Linked DNA regions of Arabidopsis thaliana. The protein of the gene in region 4 purifies or fractionates together with the protein of the main gene of each other region. This does not show direct contact. Each region holds a gene or a part of one and is shown on either strand. Other genes may lie near its edges.

Region 1 (6,208 bases), on a different chromosome or scaffold from region 4:
ATAATTAATCTCTAGTTTTTTTTTCCTTAAGGATTGATGAGCGTAATTTCTACAACATCAGTTTAGTATGATTATTAGATGGTGAAGTGTTAAGTAATTGTCGCCTAAATGAGACCATGCATGAATAAAAATCGTGATAAAAGAGGGAATCATTTATTTATATGGGGGATGCATGGTAAGCATCGATGTTGTTGAGTTACATAGAGATAAAAAGGTGGAGTAATTAGAAGCGATCAATGATTCTCATGGCAGCATCAGAGAGTTGAGTATAGATACTGATTTGACTAAACAGTTGAAGAAACTCAAACTCGACACTTGGTTGCTTTAATCCACAGCTATGAGGAATGCTAGCATACTCTATCGATTTGGCGGCTTTGTCGTAATCACCGGTTTTCAGACCTGTTTTGGCTTCCGACAGTAGTTTAGGTGCCACCGTCGACGTGTCATTTCTGCAATCCTCCAAGATTTTTCTCACTTCTTTCGTTCCTCCTCCCAGTGACAATATATTTGTAATGTTACTAGAACAATAAAAAGATTGATATATTAGTTAGAGAATATTGTCATATATCTAAGTTAATATATATGTATGGTTATTAGAAGGGAAAACTTGCTTGGTGATGATATCGAGACGAGAGTCGAGACAGTGTATGATGATCTCGGCGATGCCAACACGGTCTGCATGAACGGAGGTTGGGTCGGATTCAAGACATTGCATGCAAATGGTCGGAACTTGTGCATTATGGCATTCCTCTTTCATCAGGTCCTTCTCGGCGCAAATCGGAGAGATCACGAGCAGAGCTAACAGGAGAAACTTGATCATTATCGTCATTATGCGAAGTATATTTCCTATGATTGATTATGTTATATTTCTTTGAGGGGTGTGAATTTCTTATTTGTACTAAGAATATGGGACTGGGAATGTGGTTGGTCACGAGTTTATCTATCCTTCTCAAAAGGAGGTAGCTCTATTGTTTACTTACACAAGTTTTAACATCTATTCAATTTTACCTTTTGTTAATGTTAACTGACCATTCAAACGCGAGCTGCTCTTCTTCTATTACTCCATTTGGGTAAAATAATAAATCATATGGCTCCAAATTCATTTTCACAAACTTGTTAAGCTAGTTTTCCAATTTGGTAGTTAGTTTAGCTATTATTGAAACATTTGCAAAGCACTGGAATTGGTAATTGTATTTTATAAAATGGAGGAGCCTCCTTCACGGTTGCAAACGTCAAAATAGTGAAAACCTAAACAAACTTAAGATATTGCCAAACCTTGAATCGTTTCCAGACCAAAACAAAAATTCTCCGATGTTCACTACGAAAAACAGACGACATTAATTTAGCTCAAAAAAAAAATACAATACAGGGTTTGTTAATGTTGCATCCCTTTCTATTCAGCGCTCTTAGACTTCTTCTTCTTCTTCTTGGTGCTGTGACCATCATCAGTCTCCTCTTCTCCTCCAGCTTTACTCTTCTTTGTCTTCTTCTTCTCTGATTTCTCGTTCTCCTCTGCAGTCTCCATCTTCCTCTTCTCTTTCTTCTTCTTTTTCTCTGACTTGTCCTCCTCCATTGCCACCACCTCTTCTTCTTCTTCACCCTTTGCCTTCTTCTTCTTGCTTTTCTTCACCGAGGCATCAACTGGCTCCTTCCCTTCCTCTTCTAAAGGAGGAACAGATAAAAAAACACTGAGTTTGCCATCATAAAGAGGACTCTGATTACAACCAAAAAAAAACAGCTACAAGAAATACCTTGCTTTAGATTCTCTATCACCTCCTTCATTACATCCACGTTCTTGCGTGGGGCAACACCTTTGTCATAAAATTCTAGCCTTTCCTCAACTTGTTCGCGAAGCTTCTCACCAAAAGCAGTAGTTGCACCATCTGCATAGGACATCAGGGCACATAATTTAACACTTTCACAACAGAATTCATAATCCAAAACTCTTCTTCAAGGAGTTTCAGATTTTTACCAGCAAAACAATCAATCCGGGATGCTATAGAGCACTTGTTTGCAAGATAACGAGCGATACGGCCCTTGTTCTTAGCAGATGCTCGGCCAATGAAGGAAGAATGGAAAATCAATCCATACTTGGGAGTGTTTCCACGTGTTTTAAGTGCCCTGAAATACCACAGCAGTTCATGTCACAAGCAGCACTAAAAGGAAACTGGTGAACATTAAAAATATAGTGCCAGATATTGCACCTGAAAAGAGCCTTCTCGGCTCCAAGAATCTGGAGGGTGGAAGATGGGCATTTAGCAAGGTTAGTCAGACTTCCAGCATGTGAAATCAAACGGGCACCGACCATTTCTCCAATCAAAGCAGCCAAATTAGGGGCAATGTCGCTCATCTTAGTGACAAGATAATCATAGAGCTTCTTCCTGTAGTCAGCAAGGTCCATAACTTTCTGAGCAAAGGTCTGTACGTTGATTAAGTCAAGCGGTGATAAATCCGAGCCTGCCAATAGGGAAGAGAGTAAATGTCTCAGGACATAAGTTAACAGAAACACACATTAACTCAAAGCTACCAAAAAAGTCAGCTCAAAATTTTTACCCATGGATGCTTTTCCAGCTTCGATGACCTCCTTTGCCTTATCTTCATCCCCTAAGACTTCAGTAAGCATGGGGATGTGATCTTCAGTCAACTTTGACTTGTCATCAATCATCTTTGAAACACGGGCGTAAAGATAGTTGTCATTGACTATCTTCACTAGTTCGGGGAAGTGCCACGAATACCATTCCCTGTAATAACATTATAAACAGTTCAGCTACCAATTTTCTCGAGGAAAACACACAATCTGAAAGGGAAAAGCACAAAACAAACCTGACTCTCATGGCAAAGGAATTGATATCCTTATCAAGCGTGTCAAGCATGAAGATAGCTTGAATAACCATGTTATCCACTCGGTTAACATTGAACTTCACCTTGGCTCTGCTGTAGCTGTGAGCTAATCCAAGCTGAGATTTTTCAAGATCACCAGGCTACATAAACAGAAATTTTTTATGAGAACACAAACCATATGAGATAAGCAAACAGACAAAAAGATTTTAAACACATAGAAAGGAGATCACACCTTTAAGTCCTTGATAAACCTATCAAAATGCTGGCGAACACCTCTGAGAAGCTCAAGAACAAACTCATTGCTCTGGCATGGGATTTTAGTAGCTTCAAATATATGTGAACCGAGTTTAGGCTCAGCCAATCCTAAACTGAACTTGGGTTTCTTTCCCTCCTTGACCTTAGGAAGATTCAACTCCAGAAAACTTCTAAGCTCATCAGTCATAACACCTACCAATATCACATTAAAACCAATTCCAAAAGCATCAATGACAAAACCAAAACAATGAAACAAAAACAGAACACAAAAACAAGAATCAACCATAAATTAAAGCTCTTTCTACAATATATCCAGGAAATTTGAACTATAAGGTTTTAAATCGAAGTGTCTACTCTAGCTCTAAATACAAGAACAAGCTACTCAACACAACACATGAATATACAGAACAAAGAATAAGAAGAGAGTAATGAAGAGTCTGACCTTCAGAGACGGCGTTGACTTGGTTGAGAGCATCGAGAGCAGACTCAAAGGGATGAAACGCTGTGAGCTGAACAACACGGCCAAAGCGACTGAGGTCGGAGACAGAAGTCCGAACCGCCTCAGTGTTCTGTCCGATCTCATCTAGTCCGTGAACCTCGAAGAGACCATAGCCGGAAGAAGACTCGTAGATAACATACATCGCCATTTTTTGAGGAGAAGAAACTAAAACCCTAAAGACCTACTGAGCGAGAAGAAATATACAACGAACGAAACTAGGGTTTCAGGGGTTTAATAAGCGCATCTGTTGATGGCGCTGCTCTTGAAAAATTCAATGGGCCAGGCCCATTTAACGGTGTGTTAGTTGTACTAGCTTATAAAATGCCCGGCCCATCACAACAGGTTAACTTTCTTTTTTTTTTTTTTTTTTTTTTTTTTTGGTCATCCTTGCAAGATATCAAAAGTTTGTTACAAAAATTGAAAAATTGTCAACTAAAATATTATTATTGAATGAAAGTGAAATCTGTTTCTCCACATCCTTATATAGAAGAAAATTGTCAACTTCCATATACAAGCATATCAAATTATAGAGGGGACAATCTTCATCTTCCCTCCTTGATCTTGAATCCAACCATTGGCTTCGATTCGCCGTCTCTAAGTGGCATCTCCGGGCCAGGCGCTATAAAGCTCGTCGAGAAGCTAGTGTCTTTCGTTTGAAAGTTGCTGAATGAGGAGCTTGTGGTGTCATCAAATGTACAGTCGGTTAGGTAGCCTGGCTTAGAGGTGGCATCATTGACCTCAGCATCTCCTGACAACATGGCTACTACTCGTGACATTGGTGGTCTCAACGCATAAGATGACTGAGTGCAAAGCAGAGCAATGCCAATCATGCGTTTCACTTCTTCCATGTTGTATTCACTTAGCTCATCATCTATTAGTTCAACGTCACGGTTTTTCTCGTGTAGATTCCATGCCTGTATACAAGAAATACAAAAGGATTATCGGCTTTTGTCATTTATCACACCATCTTCAACTTCGCCTATATGACAAATATAGACGTACCCATTCAAGAAGATATTTTTTTCCCTCTTCCAGGTTCTCATCAGAGTTTTTCCTTCCACTCACTAGCTCAAGAGCCACAACACCAAAGGCATACACATCTGTTTTCTCTGTTAGATGTCCACGCATGGCATACTCTGGCGCAAGATACCCACTGCATTGATACAACTAACATGAGCTATAAAGCCATAATTGTGTTGCAAACAAAATGTCAGGGTCTATGGATTTTGCTTACATCGTCCCTGCCACTCTGGTACTAATATGGGTTTTCTTGTCATCATATAGTTTTGCAAGCCCAAAATCAGAAACTTTTGGGACCAGTTCAGAGTCCAGTAAAATGTTGCTGGCCTTCACATCTCTGTGTATTATGCGAACACTTGCTTCCTCGTGGAGATAAACTAGACCTCTGGCTACTCCCAGACATATCTCATAACGGGTTGACCAATCAAGATGCAAACTCTTATCCCCTGTAACATCCAACCCAATGGCATAATGATTACTTTAGCTTGGCAGAAGCAGAGATAGGTAAGTCATGTTTCTGTTCATTACCAAATAATGCCTGATCGAGACTTCCATTAGGGAGATACTCATATACGAGCAAACGATGATCTCCTTCAAAGCAGCACCCGTAAAGTTTTACTAGGTTGCGATGTAGAACTGAAGAAATTGCAATAATTTCTGCAACAAATTGTCCCTTCCCTTGCCGTGATCCAATTGACAACTGCTTCACCGCCACCTCTCTTCCATCATTGAGGTTTCCCTGTTGAACGTGTTATTCAAAACAAAACGTATTAAAAGGTATTACATGTACCCTTCTTTCCTAGTATCTCAGAAAAATATACAGCTATTTTGTTCGATTCAGTAAGGGACTTACCTTATAAACAGCCCCAAACCCTCCCTCTCCAAGCTTGTTTGAGAGATCAAAATCTTGTGTTGCATTCTTAAGTTCCGAGTAAGTAAAGGTGTAAGGCTTTACGTCCATACTAAGTATCTCTGCCATAAAAAATTCACTACTTAAAATCAACCAATTTAACAGATGATAGTCAACTTTAATTTTGATCAGAGAGCTAAAGTTATTCAGCTCAAGGGCTTGTTTATGTTCTTATTACATCTGTACCTTCATCATCTGTGTACGGTTTTCTTCTTTTTCGAATGACGAGGATAACCACACCCGCAAAGATGCTCAAAAGTCCAACACCAACAATGACACCCACAATAGTACCAGTCCTGCTCTTTCCCTTTGATGGTGGCCTATTAGCCACAGTTGGTGTGAAATCTGAACAAGAATATGTGACACGGCACTAACTAGTATCGGGAGATAGTGAAAATCAGAGGAAAAAAAATATATCAACCGTTTGTGTTACCTGGTGTCGCACTGACGGCCGCTATTAATGGCCCATAAGCCCCTTGGATAGGAATACAACATGTTCCTTTTCCAGCCCAGAAAAGATGGACTTCGAGATGATTTTCTGATACATTTGTTTTATATTCTCTCTGAACTGCTCGAACCGAAGAGCCACCAGCTGTTCTGCGTATATCAAAATCCTTTTCAACAAGTCTTCCCTGGAAAAATGGAGCTAGATCTTAGAATTCATCAGAACCAAAAAGTAACAT
Region 2 (6,125 bases), on a different chromosome or scaffold from region 4:
TAGATAGTCACATGGCCCAAACGGTTTGATAACGTTTTCCAAATGACTAGCGACTTGCCCGATAGGGTTAACGATTGTATCAACGGCATTCTACAAAAATACAATGAGTTTTAAGTTAAATGTGGGCTACCCATAATAAAATTAAGTGGTCACAAAAATTTATTACGTACTTGAAGTGTGGATTTACTAAATGTAGCCATTGCACAGACTAGTCCAAAGAGAACAATATCTTCTGATGAGATCACCTCCCTATAATTATAATTGTCTACTTCTTTCCAAAGCTGTACAAACTACATTATATAGATAAAATTTAGATAACGAATCACAATTTAATATTAATAAAAAAAACTGTGTTAAAGTTAAGGAGAATTTTTACCCCTTCCGCAGTAACTTGATACTTGCTTTCTAAAAGATTAGAAAGAGACTTAAAGCAGTCAATTTTGAAGCCATATGCCCTTTTTACGTTGCAGTAAGCTATCTGTTCGACACTTCGGTGGGGAAGCTCCCCAAAGTTGCGGGTCTCGAGGGCCACCAATAGTGTAGCCATGTAAGCATCGATAGTTTGGACCTGCCGGGGATATGGTCGGAAAACGATCGCCATTTGGCCACAGTGGTAATGGAGCCAATACTGACGAAGTGCAAGACGGTCTTTTTCGAGTTCGTCCTGCAAAAGAATAGAAGATTAGATGTACAATATGGAATCTTGTTGCGCAAGCAAAGTTTTATAGTCACTTTTCCTTACCGTAGCACTTTCTAAGTCGTTTCTTAGAATGCTGTCTTGTTTGACGAAATTGTTGTTCTTAGTAAGACGCCATTTTTCATCCAAGAGATAACCTTCTCCTAATCTGCCTTGTATTTTTTCAGCTATAACTGTGAACAAACGCATGTCACAGACAATTCCGTCATTCCGGATAAGATCATAGGCAAGTCGAAGGGCTTCAAGTTCCAAATCGTCAGTGAACATCGGGCCAACAGAATTCTCTGCGATATGAAGTAGCCTCAGCACTAGGTTTCGTCCTTCGTAGTTTCGTGAATAAGCTTCCACATCCAAGTCCAATTGATCATCACCCTAAGTAAAGGTCATTAAACAAGATTTTCAACTTAACGATAACAATATGTTCTTCTTCTTTTTTGTTGACAACAATAACCCAATAGATTTTACAGTAAAACGCAACATTGCACGAACTAAACTGAAAAAAAAAAAACTATTTAAAATTACCTCAATATCCATCTTGTTAACCAATAGTTTTTTCAATACTTAGTCTGCAAGAAACACTTAAGAAAGATAAATGAAGTTAAATCTGATTAACAAATTAACTAAGCTAAGTTTCTGCTGCGAAAACAAATTTGTGTGTGTCATAAACAATATTTTTCTACCAAACTCAATGCTCTGTTAATCTAGCTAGTCGATGGATTCTCCAAATTAAAACTGACAAGATTAACTCTAAACGGAGATTACTTCACATGCAAGAAACATTAAAGAAAGTAACACAGATTAACTGTTCCGAGAGAGAAATCTCATTTAATTGCATGAAAAATTAAGTAAGTCTGCTACAAAAACGAATTATGTCACAAAAACAAAATCATTCACCAAAATCAAAAGATTCAATCAAAGAAACTTTGCACGATTTGGAAAGAAAAATAGTTGAAGTTACCTGTTTATCTTGCTAAGCGATAGAATTTCTCCAAATTGAATCTATGACGATTAATAAATTTAAACGACGATTGCTTCCTATTCAAGAAACACAAAGAAAGTTAGAGAAGTGTCCCAACAACACAAATTAACAGTTCTGAGAGATAGATCTCATTTACTAGCATAAAAGATGAAGCTAAGTTTCTACTGCAATATGATTTTACATAACAAATAAACCCATGCATCAAAGTCAAAAGCTTCAATCGAAACATTACATTTACCGCAACTTTGCACGATTTGGGAATAAAGAAGAGTTAAACTGACCTCAGTTCCTCTTTCTAATCGAGAGATTTCGCAAATTGAATCTGTACGAGTATAATTGATTCACTAGTTGAGCTAATCGTCTTGTTCTGTTGCAGATTCTTGAGCGAAAGAATCTTAAGAACTCACACGTACGGTCTTCAGCAATCCCTTCGATGATGTGACTACAGGACCTTCTATCTCTCTTGTATCTCTCTTTCTCTCTGTTACAGATTAATTTTACAGGAGAAAGAAGAAGAAGATGATCAACAAGAAAGAAGACGACTCTCAACTCTGTAACGGATCAATTAGTTTGTTTATATTACTAACTGATATGATCTGGTACGGGCCCTTCCACAGTAACTGAAGCCCACGCGCGTGTACTTCACCTGAGACCACCTAAACTTTTCCCTCTTTGTATAACAAAAGCTTGTTTTTTTTTCCTTACATGAAGACCATTGACCCATGCTAGTCATTTTGGTTGAGTCCGATAGAATTAATGGGCCAGGCCCATGTAGTTAATCTAAGAGCAAAGCCGCATCATCTTCCGTGCGAAATAACCTTAAACCCTAATTTCTCTTATTCTTCTCCGAAACGGAAACTGCATAAATACTCGATTTTCAAATCAATTTTGAAAAAGACGGCTAGGGTTTTTACAGAATTCTCTCTACAATGAAGATTTATCTTCTTTCCGAATCACCCTCCGGCTACGGATTGTTCGAGGGACACGGTTCCGATGAGATTGGACAGAACACGGAGGCGGTTCGGAGCTCCGTCTCGGACCTTAGTCGGTTCGGGCGGGTCGTCCAGCTCACTGCTTTTCACCCGTTCCAGTCTGCACTCGATGCTCTTAACCAAATCAACGCCGTCTCTGAAGGTGAACTCACTACTAAATTACAGCTCTTTCCCTCTTTAGTTTCCTGCACCATATACTTTATTACTTGCTTCTATTATAGTTTATGCTGGAAAGAGCTTAATTCTTAGAAATTGAGCTCTTACTACTGTTGGAATCAGCTTATTCTGTTCTGTTTTAGCTTTTGCTGGAGGTCTTGATAATAAAGTATTAATATTTGTATTGTTTTTACACCTTAAAAATCGTAGGATACATGAGCGATGAGCTGAGAAGTTTTCTGGAGCTGAATCTCCCGAAAGTGAAGGAAGGCAAGAAGCCCAAGTTTAGTTTGGGAGTGTCTGAGCCTAAAATCGGTTCTTGCATTTTTGAAGCTACCAAAATTCCTTGCCAGAGCAATGAGTTTGTCCATGAGCTCCTTAGAGGTGTGCGTCAGCATTTCGATAGGTTCATCAAAGACTTGAAGGTGTGTTTTTTATTTTTGATTACCTAATACCTACACATATTTTTGCTATTCGTGCTCAATATCATCTTCTTTATAATGTAGCCTGGTGATTTGGAAAAAGCTCAACTTGGACTAGCTCATAGCTACAGCAGAGCAAAGGTGAAGTTCAATGTTAACCGGGTGGATAACATGGTTATTCAAGCTATTTTCATGCTTGACACACTTGATAAGGATATCAATTCCTTTGCTATGAGAGTCAGGTTTGTTTTCTTATTGTTTTGCCTTTCAGATTATGTCTTGTCTGTTACCGTAAGAGAAAATGGTTTCTGAGCAGCTCATATTATGTTTTTGCAGAGAATGGTACTCATGGCACTTCCCTGAGCTTGTCAAGATAGTTAATGACAACTACCTCTACGCCAAAGTTTCAAAGATTATCGTCGACAAGTCAAAGTTGTCTGAAGAGCACATCCCTATGCTTACTGAAGCCCTGGGTGATGAAGATAAGGCAAGAGAGGTTATTGAAGCTGGAAAAGCATCTATGGGTAATAAACTGATGTAGCATGTTCGATAAGAATCATGAATCTTTACAATATATCTATTGTTTCTCATGTTCTAAGACATTGTTGTTTTCTCTATTTGAAGGCCAGGATTTATCACCGGTTGATCTGATCAATGTCCAGACCTTTGCTCAGAGAGTTATGGACCTTGCAGATTACAGGAAGAAGCTCTATGATTATCTTGTTACTAAAATGAGTGACATTGCTCCAAATTTGGCGGCCTTGATCGGAGAGATGGTTGGGGCTAGGTTGATTTCACATGCAGGAAGTCTGACAAATCTTGCCAAGTGCCCATCTTCAACCCTCCAGATTCTCGGTGCTGAGAAGGCACTTTTCAGGTGCATTTCAAGCTTTGTTAGTCTTTACAAGTTTAATTACACTGCAGTAACTAACTTTGGTGTTAATTTCAGGGCACTGAAAACACGTGGAAACACACCCAAATATGGTCTAATATTCCATTCATCATTCATCGGGCGTGCATCTGCTAAAAACAAGGGCCGTATTGCTCGTTTCCTTGCAAACAAGTGTTCCATTGCTTCCCGGATTGATTGTTTCTCAGGTAATAATCTAGAGAATGTCCTGAATAAGAGAGAGGTGTTTGGGAGATGATGCGTTGTTATTAACTACAAAATCATGGTGGTTGTGTTATGCAGATAACAGCACTACAGCTTTCGGTGAGAAACTAAGGGAACAAGTAGAGGAAAGACTTGACTTTTATGACAAAGGTGTTGCCCCACGTAAGAATGTTGATGTAATGAAAGAAGTGTTGGAAAATCTTGAGAAGAAAGGTACATATGACCCAACAAAGCTCTCTGATCTGTTGTGGTAAACGGTTTTGTTTGATGGGTTGTTTCTTCTTTTTTTAAGACGAGGGAGAAAAAACAGTGGATGCTTCGGAGAAGAAAAAGAAGAGAAAGACAGAGGAGAAGGAGGAGGAGAAGGAAGAGGAGAAATCAAAGAAAAAGAAAAAGAAAAGCAAAGCAGTAGAAGGAGAGGAATTGACAGCAACAGATAATGGCCATAGCAAGAAGAAGAAGAAAACTAAGTCACAAGATGATGAATAAACAAACAAGTCTGTGTAATACACTAGTTTTTAGTTTTCTTTCTTCTACATAGGGTTTTGACTTTAAGAACAACTTTAAACATAGCGCAAATTAGATAAGGTTTTCTACTTTTGAATTAAGTCTGTCTTAGCCAAATGAAAACAAGCTTGAGTCTCTGTCTTGCGAGTTTATGACTTAAAAACAACTAAAAACATATATAATTATCAGATTTTCTACAATTGAGTCTGTCTTAAACAAAAGAACAAGCTTTTGATTATTTATCAGGTCTGGTTTTTAACTTTTGAAGATGATCAAATTTTTGTTGATGTTGAAATGGATCTTCAAGTATGTATGGATATGTTTTTGCTCAATTCTTTGAAAATGTCGACAAAACAAATTAACATTACAAAAAAGGATTGAAGGAGATGAATCAAACATGTTGTTTTTCTTTATTATCACTAAAATTGCAGAAACCAGAGAATTCTGCTAAAGCATAGCAACAAAAGAGCAAAAGAATCAATCGCAGAGAATGAGTCTAATCATGGCAAGAACCAAACACGAAACAGAGAAGAAGAAGAGCGTCACAAAATCCCTAGCAGACCATTTCTTCACAGGCTTCGACTCAACTCTTAAACTCTTGGCTCTACGAAGCGCATCCACTTCCTTAAGCAAATCAAATTCGATACCTTTCTTCTTCAACTCTTCAACACATTTACGCAACAGCTTCGCATCTTCTTTCTCCCTCTCCAACAACTTCTCAAGATGCGATTCCACTTCAGATTTGTACCGTACCGCCCAAATGATCCCCAAGGAAGATAGCAGAGCGCAGAGTGAAGGGATCCATGATCTTTTACAAGCACTGGAAGAAGCAGAGGAAGATGAGGATGAAGAAGCGTGGAAGAGAAGTAGCAGAGAAATGGAGTGGAAGAGAAAGAAGAAGATGTAGAGCTGAGTGATTTCTCTTCGAACAGAATCGATCTGAGATTCTTTGTGAGAGACACGGCTTAGAATTAGCTCTTCTTCTTTTAACCATTGTTTCAGGAGAAGCTTGTGTGTTGGTGTATCTGCGATCTGGTGAAGAGGATGTCTTGTCTTTGCCTCCATGATCGGTGGATTCGTGCTCTGATCTGACGCCATGGAAGCTTTGTGGTTAGAGAGAGAGAGAGAAGTGTAGATTTGTGAATCGCAGAGAAAAAAAGATGCGGACTTTATTGAGGCTCTTTGGTAACGGCTCTTTTGGGTTTTATTTTAAAATATTATATGAATTTACAGATTTGTCCTGAGAGCGTAACGGTCA
Region 3 (4,443 bases), on a different chromosome or scaffold from region 4:
TGCGCTCTACCAACTGAGCTAGACGGGCTTTGTGACTAATGATACCAGAAAAACTATATAACAGTAAATATTATTTCTAAACATTTTGCAACACAGCTTTGCATCCCAATTCCCAAGTGAGGAACAAACGTACAAAGGCCAAGACTTTGGGTTGAAGTTGAACTTTACAAGATTACGTTTGAAAAGATGATGAATATCAATCCCCTACTCTTAATGTGGGAAATTTTCAGTGTACAACATATTTATTCAAAGAACACCCTCAATATCTTTCCCAAAAAGTTATGCAATCTGTTTCAGAAAGATTTCAGAACTTAATTGGTTTAAACATCTCTTCTCCAGATTATTTGGCAGCAGTACACAACCTATATGCCCAGTAATAAGTTTTGAAGTTTTAAATCAAAGCAAGCAATCTGTTTCCATACAGAAAACTGATTCATCAGCTTACAATTGTAGCTTCTCGATACTCTTGTTTGAGAACAATTGAGACTTTCATAGATACAATACCATGTTCCACAAAATTTGTGACAGTCACATACCCTTAATACTCAAAGGCCAAAGTTTGAAGCTTGAAAACAATTTGAAGCTTTTGGACTATAAAACCAAAGAAAAATCAGCATAATCAATCTGTCTCAAAAATCAGCATAATCAATCTGTCTCAAAAATCAGCATAATCAATCTGTCTCCAACACATATCTGAATCATTAGGGTTACAGATTTGAAAATTAGCATATGTATGTAAATTTCCAAAGTTTCAAGCTTGATGAAGAATTTGAAGCTTTTAAGTATAAAAATCAAAGCAATATCAGGAAACTCAACCTGTCTCCAATACAAATCTTGATCATCAGGTTACAGATTTGAAAATTCGCATATGAATGTAAATTTTTTAGCTTTTACATACTCAAGAGTCTCACAAAACACCTCAAAAACAGATTTATAAAAATCGAGACTTTCATAGATCCAGAACCAAGTTCCACGAAACTTGTAACAGCTACATACTTTAAAACTCAAAGCAACAAGCAGAATCAAACTAAGACACAACAAAGACAAAACCTTTAAACTTTCAAAGGTCATCTTCACCCCTCAAATACTCTCCAATATCAGCCTGATGAAGCACAACAATACCATTAGGATCCAATTTCCTACAATCCTGTGTACTCTTCGCAGCAATCCCAAACCCTAACGGAACATCAGACATCGAGAACACAACAACACCATCTCCAGGAACAATACTATCAGTAATCCTCCCTAATCCACCTTTCAAGACATGGTTCCCATAAAGAAACGACATCTCCGAAGTGGGTTTAAGCCATACCTTGTGTTTAGCATTCGCCGCCAAGATATTGAGTGACATAATCGTCAGATGGAAACTACCGGCGTGAGTGTATTTCCCGATGCAGGTTCCGAAGGAGACTAGGTTTTTCCTGGAGATGTTTGTGGCTCGCTTCACGAGGGCTTCGCTGACGTAGTAGACTCTGTTTTTCTGGAGGCGGAAGCAGTAGCTGCCGGGTGTAGATTCGGGTCCTTCGTCTGATGGGTTCTCGACGATCTTCTTGAGGTTGTTGCCGACGAATTTGAAGAGCTTCTCGAAGACGACGGTTGTCTCGGTCTCGTCTAAAGGACGCATCTTCGGGGAAGAAAGTGATGAATAATGGAGAAAGAAGAGAAGCTCTCTGTTTCTAAGAGGGATTGTGTTTTTTTAGGGTTTTAGGGATTTAGGACCAAACCTAATGCGGCCGATGAGTTTTGTTATTTCGACTTTGGTCCTTTGTTTTAAAAATATCTATTGTCATTTCAACCTCGAAATTATTATTTTTGTTAAATCCAACCCATGAATAATTCACTTTGAATATTTGGACTTTGGAGGATAACTGAAAGTTATAACAAATTTGATAGTTCATGTAGTTTATTGAAAAGATGTTTAGTTAGAGATTTTTTCATGTGTAAAAATATTATAAGGAAATCATACAATGAATTACTAATATTATAAGGGCAATTGACAAAACAAAAATATATTATTTTAGAAAAAGGTATATATATTTCTAATATAAATAAATACAATTAATTACAAATATTGTATAACGTGTAAGAAAATAATTGTTTTAAATATATATATATACTTCTAAGATTAAGTAAATTATACATTTAATCACTAATACAGTAAAAATATTAAATAAATTATTAAAATTAGTAATTCTAACACAAGAAGGCTTAAATTTTTCTTTTCTTTTTTTTCTCTCTTCAGAATTGGTTTCATATAACGATCTGTGTGATACACAGTTTAATTGATATATGAATCGACAAATACCAATAAAAATCGCTGTGAATGAATATGTATAGATAACGAAAAATACGCGGGTCAAGGTACAACCACGACATGCCATATTGCCATGTGGCTTCAACCCCCACATATAAGTCCACGACATTGCAGGACATAACGATCATAAAATTTGGAGGAAATACAAATATAGAAGAATGGAAGAATTGGACATAGTAATCGTGGGAGGAGGCATTGCTGGTCTTGCAACTTCCCTTGCTCTTCACAGGTTCACTATAATCTCCTCATTTTCTCAATTATAAGGTAATTTAAATTAGAAAACATATACATGAACTATTGACTAACTAAACATACAAATATGATTATAAAGGAAGGGCATAAAGAGCGTTGTGTTGGAGAGATCAGAGTCTGTAAGATCGGAAGGAGCAGCATTTTGGTATTCAGACTAACGGCTGGCTTGCTCTTCAACAACTTGGTGTCGCCGATAAGCTAGCTTCGTCTTAAGTCTCTCCCAATTCATCAGTAAGTATATAAATATTTATATTTTAACTAACCTTATCTAGTTATAATGATTTCCGGTATGGTACTAAAACAGGATAAGAGATGTTTTGATCGAGAAAGGTATTAAACGAAGAGAATCGGTTGGACCAGCATCCTATGGAGAAGTAAGAGGTGTACTAAGGAACGACTTGGTTCGAGCTTTGGCTCATGCTCTTCCTCTTGGCACTCTCCGGCTTGGTTGCCATATTTTGTCGGTTAAGCTCGACGAAACAAAATCGTTTCCGATTGTGCACGTTAAAAACGGGAGAAGCTATCAAAGCAAAGGCACGTTTTAACAACAGTAGATATATTTATTGATCAATTATTGAGGTGATGCCGTAGTGGAATTTTTTTAGTATATACTTTATATTAGCCGACAGTGACATTTATGGGTCGTGATCGGTTTTAATGGTTTGTGTTTTGTTTGTTTTTCACTGAAAGCAACATGTTTAGCATGAAATGCATGGGTCTTATATATTTTGATAATATACTTTTCTTTTAATTTAGGTTTTGATTGGCTGCGATGGGTCAAATTCTGTAGTCTCTAGATTTCTAGGATTAAACCCGACTAAAGACCTCGGTTCGCGGGCCATCAGAGGGTTCACAAATTACCCGGACGACCATGGATTCCGACAAGAGTTTATAAGAATCAAGATGGACAACGTCGTAAGCGGACGACTTCCTATAACTCACAAACTCGTCTTTTGGTTTGTTGTTTTGCGAAATTGTCCCCAAGGTAATTAATAACCCGGTCATGCTACATTTCATACTATACATAGACTTCTATTGTTTTCATATAACGCACTAACGTATTTATAATTTGTTTTATAAATAGACTCAAACTTCTTAAAAAATCAAGAGGATATCGCAAGATTGGCACTAGCATCAGTCCGCGAATTCTCAGAAGAGTGGAAAGAGATGGTGAAGAATTGTGATATGGACTCTTTGTATATCAACCGTTTAAGGTACCGTGCTCCTTGGGATGTTCTGTCTGGAAAATTCCGACGTGGCACCGTGACAGTTGGCCGGAGACAGTATGCACCTAATGGGCCCATTCTTAGGACAAGGATGTTCGGCTGCGCTTGAGGACGGTGTTGTTTTGGCTAGATGCTTGTGGAGGAAGTTAAATTTAGGTCAAGACGGTATAATTAATGTATCTTCCTTCTCTTCAAGGATGCAAATAGAAGAAGCAATTGATGAGTACATTAGGGAAAGAAGAGGTAGACTCGTGGGGCTTTCGACACAAACTTATCTTACCGGTAGTTTAATAGCAGCTTCTTCGCCGGTTAGGAAGCTATTGCTTGTAGTTATGTTGATGATTCTGTTTCGTGATCAAATTGGTCATACTCGATATGATTGTGGCAGTCTATAAATTTATCTTATGTACGAACTGTCTAAATTGCGAGAGTTGTGTGCTTCGTGAGATGATTGTATCATGAGGTTGGTTACTCATTGTTCTTGCGAATGTTTCCTGTTTGTTCGCTTCTGATAATTTTTGTTCGATTATTAAAAGAACTATGATATTAGTCTTTCTCACTTGTGAGTTGTGAAAGACAAAAGAAGTCCAATCAAAAACTTATTTAAGAAAATTATGGGCGGTATCATCTGCAAAAAAATATTCTCAAAAA
Region 4 (6,803 bases):
TTAATAGCCACTAATAATCTCAAAAGAAAGTGGTCATCTCACGTTCCAGAAAGTATTCAAGGACAGACATCATTTTCTCAGAAAGACACCAAAAACGTTTTTAATGTTGTAACTCGGCTATGGTGAAGTAAGAAAAGATCATAGGAAACACAGAACGAACCATGATTGTGCTCTAGTATGTTATAATTTATGATAATAAGCTAAAAAATGGGAATAGTCTGTTTCCTTTGATTCAAAATCTTCACTTATCCACTTTCCTGTGATGGAACAAATAATTACTCTGGTTCAGGGTTGACAGTAATGAACACTTTGACTAGTTTTGTGAACTCTACTTTTGAAACATGCAGCTACTCTTTTTGTTGACATGTAATTTTTTCTGAACAAGAAGATTAATGTAGAAACTCCCCTACCTTGATTGGCTTGAGTGTGACTAGCATTGCCCGAGGCAGAACTATTTACATGATTACCAGTATCATGTACATGATTACCAGTATCATTGCCATTTAGCGACCACGCAGCTAGAGTTGCTCTGGTTGTTAAAGAAGGAACCACTCCTACCCTTGTTCTGCAAAAGTTAAAATCAAATAAAAACTTTGACAAGAAGGGTAAAATTTACAACTGCAAATAGAAAAGACAGTTAGTAGTATGTATGTTATAAACTGTTTTAACGCGATAAAATGCAACATCTTTCAACAGAAACCAATCCAAATGCAGAATTCACTAAACGAGTACATTGTCAGGCATACTCCAAACCAGTCTCTATTCTCAAGATCAAAGAAGCTGTAGCCAAAGAAATCGGTGAAACACACTGGTTGCAAATAATCTTTCCAACTGAAGAGACATACATCATGACACAAATTTCGAATATGAAGTGAGGGGGAGAAACAAAAGCTGGAGAAATATCGAATTTTGAACAATGTAAACCAATCTTTGAATAAATCTAACCTTTTTCCTCTTGGAGGTTTGTTTACTTCAACAACCAGACGCTTTCGTGCTTCTTCTAGTTCTTCAACCATCCCTCCTAAAACTTCTACAATCTCAGGTACTAGCATTAAAAGCCCATGCCGAACTTGTACACTAGATACAACAATCTGCATTTAGCTGTTCTAGTCAGTACTTGTACTAAAAACACAGACATGTATAAATAATCTTAAAGGCTGTACAATGGCCTTAGAACAAATATTCATACAATTTTCACAACTACAATCCTCAACAAGAAACACACACCTTTAAACCAGCAGGAGCCAAGACTTGAAGATCTTTAATAGGCCTGTATTCCATACCAAAAACGCGTTGAACACCATCTGTCATAGACAGCTTAAGGCACCTCTTAAGCCCTGCATTAGCATTCTCATACCTCCCTTTGAGTGGGCAGCCAATGTTAACAATCTCATCAACCTAAATTTGAAAAATTTAAGCAAAAATGTTCAGCCAAAATCACACATTGCGCAATTATATATACAGTGTAAAAACCAAACAATCAAATAACCTGCAGAACAAACGGACCAGCGAGTTCTATACGATTCATAGACGCAACGTTCGGAGGAAGAACACCACCTCCGCATAAATTCATATCGAAAAACATAAACTGCTCGAAGCAATGCTTAGCTTTAGCTGCAACATCGAGGTAGGAAAATTGTGGAATTGAAGTTTCAAGTCCTGAAAGACAAGATACCCACCACTCCCTCTTCAATTTAATCCCCATTCGAGAAAGAACCTCACTGATCGGCGATTCATAGTCATTGCCGCTCACTGACTCCGACGGATAAACCGGATACGGTGTAGGAATACTAGAATCCGGCGGTGTAGGCTGGGGATTACCAAAAACGTCGATAATCTCAACTTCCGATATAGCGATTCTCTCACCGGGATTAGGGTTAGAATTCGACGATACTGAGGTTTCCGGTTGTATAGATGAAGCAATACCAAAGCTCTGAACAGAATCACCAACTCCGCTTGTTCCAGTTTCATCTTCTTCTTCTTCGTCGGAGGAGTACCGGAGTTGCAGGCGCCGTCTACGCATTTCTTCGCCGGCGAAATTTAGGGAATTTTATTGGTTTTCCCTCCAAAATCAATTTTCTATTTTGCTTTTTTTTTTGAAAAAGTTTGTTTAGAAGCCAGAACGCAATTGGGCTCATTAGGAGGAAAATGGGGCCTGTTATAAAATTGGGCCGAGTTTTGTTGTATGTATGTATATGTGTATGTATATAAATTTGGGTTTAGTTTTGCCGCGAGCTGAATTTGGTGAAAATATTTGGGGGTGACGAAAAGAGCCCGCCTTTGTGTTCTAATTTTTGGTACCAGAATTTTTGAAAATCCCCAAATTTTTTTGTTTCTCTTCTTCATAATCGTTGAATTAGGGTTTTACAATTTCGAGTTTCCCCAAATCTGAAATTTGAGTTTTTTTTTTTCTTGACTTTTCACGTTTTGATTCGCCTGTTGTTTGGGTTTGAAATGGCGACTGAAACCCTAGATGAGAAGACACCGGAAGTGAATTCTCCGGCGAAGGAGGAAATTGATGTTGTTCCGAAGGAGGAGAAGGAGGTAGAGAAAGAAAAAGTGGATTCGCCGAGAATTGGCGAAGCGGAGGAGGAGAAGAAGGAAGATGAAGAAGAGGGTGAAGCGAAAGAAGGAGAATTGGGTGAGAAAGATAAAGAAGACGATGTAGAAAGTGAGGAGGAAGAAGAAGAAGAAGAAGGAAGTGGAAGTAAGAAATCGTCGGAGAAGGAAACGGTGACTCCGACTAGTGAGAGACCAACGAGGGAGAGAAAGAAGGTTGAGCGTTTCTCGTTGTCGACTCCTATGCGGGCTCCACCGAGCAAGTCCGTTTCAATTGAAAAGGTAGCTTGATGGAACTTTTGTTTGTCTTTCTTATTTGTCTTTATGAGAATTGGATCAATTAGTTATGGTTTTTTGTTGTAGGGTCGTGGAACACCTCTCAGAGAAATTCCAAATGGTATGTATGAGAATCAATTTCGATTTGTGGTTGTTTTGATTGAAGTCTTGTGAATTTGTGATGTGTAGATCTAATTGTTGTTAATCAGAACGATGAACAATCTTGGCTGGTTGGCACATCTTAGATCTAGAAGATGAGATAGCTATTGTGAGATTTTTCCTGTCTGTGTTGGCATGATTATAGATAGAACCATTTCATTAGAAAAGCTTGGGCTTTTGGTCTACTTGGATACTATTACTTCTACCAATTTGATACCTATAGTCTGACTTTCTGATGGAATATCACTATTAGTCTATTAACTTGCTGTCTGTGATTTGCTTAATTTTGCTGTGGAGAAATACTCATACTCTGCACTGTTGTTGATAAGAAGATGAGATTTTTTTTTTCTTTCTTTCTTTCTCTTGTTTGTTTGTTTAGCTTGAGGGTGAAAATTTTAGTTATTTTGATAAAGACTTGTTTACATTTATTTTTGATTAGAAAGTTGTCTGATAATTTTTGCTGTTTCAGTGGCTCATAAACTATCGAAGAGAAAAGCTGATGACAACCTGATGTTACTACACACCATTCTTTTTGGGAAGAAAGCAAAGGTGCGCTAAAAGTTGCTCTTATATTCCACATATGGTAGTTATGTTTCACTTGCAAGCTTCTGTCTCTGTTAGTATGGATGTCGTCTCGGAATTTTCATTGTTTCTTTGCCAGAGTGCATAGCTACTTAAAAAGCGTTTTGTGAAAATTTCTCTACAGGCACAGATGGTTAAGAGAAACATTGGTCAATTTTCTGGCTTTGCCTGGTCAGAGAAAGAGGTATAACCCATTTCAAGTTTATTTTGTTACAGGGATGTGTATGCTGTTGTCCCTGGTGTTGAAACTTTTATTTAAATGTTTCTTAGGAGGAGAAGCAGAGAGCACGAATAAAAGAGAAGATTGACAAATGCGTAAAAGAAAAATTGATTGTTTTTTGTGATGTGCTTGATATCCCTATAAGCAGAAGTAACGTGAAAAAAGTAAGTGATAAGAAGATGTAGTCTATCTATTTATTGCACCTTGTTCTATATTCTAAGAAATCCTCTATCCTGATACTGCCAGGAAGAACTAGCTGTCAAAGTGCTTGAATTTTTGGAATCTCCCAAGGAAACTAGAGATGTTATAATTGCTGATCAAGAAAAGGTATTATTGGAATCAGTACATTATTGTTCTACATGTTCATTCTCAATGGGAGCACTGAATTCATTTTTAGCAGGCGAAAAAGCGCAAGAGTACACCAAAAAGGGGGAAATCTGGAGAATCTTCGGACACCCCTGCCAAGGTTTGTACTTTGTTATTATCTCAATTCTCTTATTTGCATTCATTGCCTGCTACTGGCGCCTTTATAGCTTGTTTTTCTTTTATTTTCCTCATATGACTGGTGTGAATTTTGATTTTAAATGTTTGGTTGGATTACCGTCATTCGCATGAATTATTATATGCTTTCTCATCTATGTGACTTGATTTATTAGTTGTTGACCATGGGTTGTACAAATATCCCTGTTTTGTTACTACGCAGAGGAAAAGGCAAACTAAAAAGCGAGATCTTCCATCTGACACGGAAGAAGGCAAGGATGAGGGAGATGCTGACTCTGAAGGAACTAATGATCCTCATGAAGAAGATGATGCAGCGCCAGAGGAAGAAAGTGACCATGAAAAGACTGACACTGACGATGAGAAAGATGAAGTAGAGGTTGAGAAACCATCCAAGAAGAAAAGCTCATCGAAAAAGACTGTAGAGGAGAGTTCAGGGTCCAAAGGTAAGGATAAGCAACCTTCTGCCAAAGGTTCTGCAAGATCTGGGGAAAAGTCCTCCAAACAAATTGCTAAGTCAACTTCATCCCCAGCTAAGAAGCAAAAAGTTGATCACGTTGAGTCTTCTAAAGAGAAAAGCAAGAAACAGCCGAGTAAGCCACAGGCTAAGGGATCTAAAGAGAAAGGTTAGAACCATTCTCAGCTGCTTCTGAGGCTTAGCCTCGTTCGATTTATGTTTTATATGAAATCATCCTATTTGTTTTTGAAGCTGATTATTTATATTTGTTCTCCTCTATCATGGATTGGAAACAGGAAAAGCCACTAAGAAAGGCAAAGCCAAAGCAGAGCCCACCAGAAAAGAGATGCTTGAAGTGGTGTCCAAAATTCTGAAGGAAGTAGACTTCAATACGGTAAGATGGTTTGATTTTCCCAAGTCCAAATACAATGTAATGGTTTAAAAAACTTGAATAGATGTTCTCATACACTTTTTTTTTCTTAATAACAGGCAACACTATCAGATATTCTGCAGAAGCTAAGTATGTTATTGGATTTTGCTTTTATTATCTATTTCGCAATTCAAATGTACAAGGAGCTTTTTGGTAACATATGCTGTTTGTGATAACGTCAGGTGACCATTTTGGTGTCGAGCTGTCGCATAGAAAACCAGAGGTGAAGGATGTTATCACAGAGGCCATAAATGCAATGACTGATGATGAAGAAGAAGATGAAGAGGAAGAAGCTGAGGCAGGAAGTGACAAAGAAAAGGAAGAAGTAAAAGGAGAGGAAGAAGAGGAAAAAGCTGAGGCTGAAAGTGACAAAGAGAAGGAAAAAGAAGAGCCAAAGGATTGAGGTTAAGAGTTTCGTTTTCCTTCGTTCAAAATCTAATGTGAAGGAAAGCAAAACTGACACAACTTTTGTGTGAACCAGAGCAAGTGAAAGTGTGTCGAATCTGTACTTTTGTACTGTGTAATCTCTATAGTCTGACTCTCATTATGTAGTTTTAAGTGTCTTTTACTTGTGTAGCTGTTACCTGTTACCTGTTAGGTTTTCTAATCCTTGTTTTATTTGATAGCCAGATACTTTAGGGAATTTTACTTCTTCTTTTCTTGGGTTTAATTTAAGACATATTCGTATATTTCATTTAATTCTGTTATCTGATTTGTGAGATCATGAAAACGAATGTTGAACTTGAAACTTGAGTGGGTTCAGAAAAACTACTCTGTATTAAAAATCCCAGTGTCACATGATAATGATCCTTCAGTAAAGGTAGACATAGCTTTTTTGCAGTGTGATATGCACAAATACAATCTATATTTTTATGTAAAAGATATATTTCTTTGAAAGTACTTATAAAAATATGTTTTTCATAAAAAAAATTATATGTAATTCTGAAAGTATGTGATATGCACAAGCACAACCTATATTTCCTACATTCAAATTCGGGTTTTTCTTGACGCCAAGTTACATTCAATTATCAATAATAGGGCTAGTTCAACTAATGCTATTTATTTATACAATCCACCCACTACTAAATCTCAATCTCCAAGGATCTTTATATATTAATAAGAAAAGCTACTATCCAAATGCGACCTTGTTCGTGAAGTGTTTGGTTTATAATTTGGTGGCTTAAGACTATAGCCCACCATTGACCCAAAAAAAGAAAGGAAAATTAATAGTAGACTATATAGCTACCAACTCCCTATAATTTACCTTGAAATTAAACCAGCTTTGTATTTTTTTAATAGAAGTCAGGGCTCTACAGTTTCATTTTAAACTTTTTTTTTTGTTATATTACATCCTGCAGGTTAGTTGTAATTTGTAAACGTAATCAACATAATAAAACCATTTACATAGACTGATTAAAGTTGATTCCATTTGATAATATTTAGCTATTTATATATCAATCAACCACCAGCTCTTAAATATATGTATTCAAATTGTTTTGTTGACTCTTTTTGCTACACTTTAAATTTGAATCTAGAATGTTGTCCTGAAACAAAAATCTGTGGATTGAACAAAATTATACACCAGGTAAAATTTTGAAGTTTTTAAAAGCAGGATCACATAC

Evidence for each region.
Region 1: the proteins of AT5G63550 (region 4) and NOP56 fractionate together in Arabidopsis thaliana (co-fractionation; one large-scale study listed by BioGRID). This does not show direct contact.
Region 2: the proteins of AT5G63550 (region 4) and AT3G12860 fractionate together in Arabidopsis thaliana (co-fractionation; one large-scale study listed by BioGRID). This does not show direct contact.
Region 3: the proteins of AT5G63550 (region 4) and AT4G15770 fractionate together in Arabidopsis thaliana (co-fractionation; one large-scale study listed by BioGRID). This does not show direct contact.

The regions. Positions count from the first base shown.
Region 1 is NC_003070.9:20,983,151-20,989,358, forward strand, and holds NOP56 (NOP56-like pre RNA processing ribonucleoprotein), read right to left. Parts: upstream 3,803-6,208; 5' UTR 3,744-3,802; coding exon 3,539-3,743; intron 3,289-3,538; coding exon 3,074-3,288; intron 2,982-3,073; coding exon 2,824-2,981; intron 2,742-2,823; coding exon 2,554-2,741; intron 2,458-2,553; coding exon 2,205-2,457; intron 2,122-2,204; coding exon 1,973-2,121; intron 1,884-1,972; coding exon 1,752-1,883; intron 1,663-1,751; coding exon 1,394-1,662; 3' UTR 1,253-1,393; coding exon of another isoform or gene 1,209-1,252; 3' UTR 1,185-1,208; coding exon of another isoform or gene 1,151-1,184; 3' UTR 1,123-1,150; downstream 1-1,122. Other genes in the region: AT1G56100 (Plant invertase/pectin methylesterase inhibitor superfamily protein), read right to left, coding at 608-829; AT1G56105 (uncharacterized protein), read left to right, coding at 587-732, 761-837, 904-959, 1,151-1,184, 1,209-1,252; AT1G56120 (Leucine-rich repeat transmembrane protein kinase), read right to left, coding at 4,138-4,509, 4,598-4,748, 4,830-5,061, 5,144-5,354, 5,469-5,587, 5,712-5,870, 5,959-6,157.
Region 2 is NC_003074.8:4,089,073-4,095,197, forward strand, and holds AT3G12860 (NOP56-like pre RNA processing ribonucleoprotein), read left to right. Parts: upstream 1-2,494; 5' UTR 2,495-2,605; coding exon 2,606-2,810; intron 2,811-3,034; coding exon 3,035-3,249; intron 3,250-3,330; coding exon 3,331-3,488; intron 3,489-3,582; coding exon 3,583-3,770; intron 3,771-3,870; coding exon 3,871-4,123; intron 4,124-4,195; coding exon 4,196-4,344; intron 4,345-4,438; coding exon 4,439-4,573; intron 4,574-4,652; coding exon 4,653-4,849; 3' UTR 4,850-5,123; downstream 5,124-6,125. Other genes in the region: AT3G12850 (COP9 signalosome complex-related / CSN complex-like protein), read right to left, coding at 1-90, 377-664, 743-1,069, 1,220-1,231; AT3G12870 (uncharacterized protein), read right to left, coding at 5,345-5,965.
Region 3 is NC_003075.7:8,975,241-8,979,683, reverse strand, and holds AT4G15770 (RNA binding protein), read right to left. Parts: upstream 1,790-4,443; 5' UTR 1,625-1,789; coding exon 1,061-1,624; 3' UTR 740-1,060; downstream 1-739. Other genes in the region: AT4G15765 (FAD/NAD(P)-binding oxidoreductase family protein), read left to right, coding at 2,473-2,543, 2,646-2,711, 2,871-3,069, 3,323-3,551, 3,651-3,901.
Region 4 is NC_003076.8:25,442,351-25,449,153, forward strand, and holds AT5G63550 (DEK domain-containing chromatin associated protein), read left to right. Parts: upstream 1-2,262; 5' UTR 2,263-2,454; coding exon 2,455-2,841; intron 2,842-2,922; coding exon 2,923-2,956; intron 2,957-3,463; coding exon 3,464-3,543; intron 3,544-3,700; coding exon 3,701-3,760; intron 3,761-3,846; coding exon 3,847-3,960; intron 3,961-4,042; coding exon 4,043-4,123; intron 4,124-4,193; coding exon 4,194-4,262; intron 4,263-4,499; coding exon 4,500-4,920; intron 4,921-5,047; coding exon 5,048-5,145; intron 5,146-5,240; coding exon 5,241-5,271; intron 5,272-5,363; coding exon 5,364-5,584; 3' UTR 5,585-5,822; downstream 5,823-6,803. Other genes in the region: RMI1 (recQ-mediated instability protein (DUF1767)), read right to left, coding at 411-565, 733-831, 946-1,091, 1,228-1,398, 1,490-2,023. UniProt on the Arabidopsis thaliana protein: Chromatin-associated protein which contributes to the modulation of chromatin structure (such as super-helical structure of DNA) and function.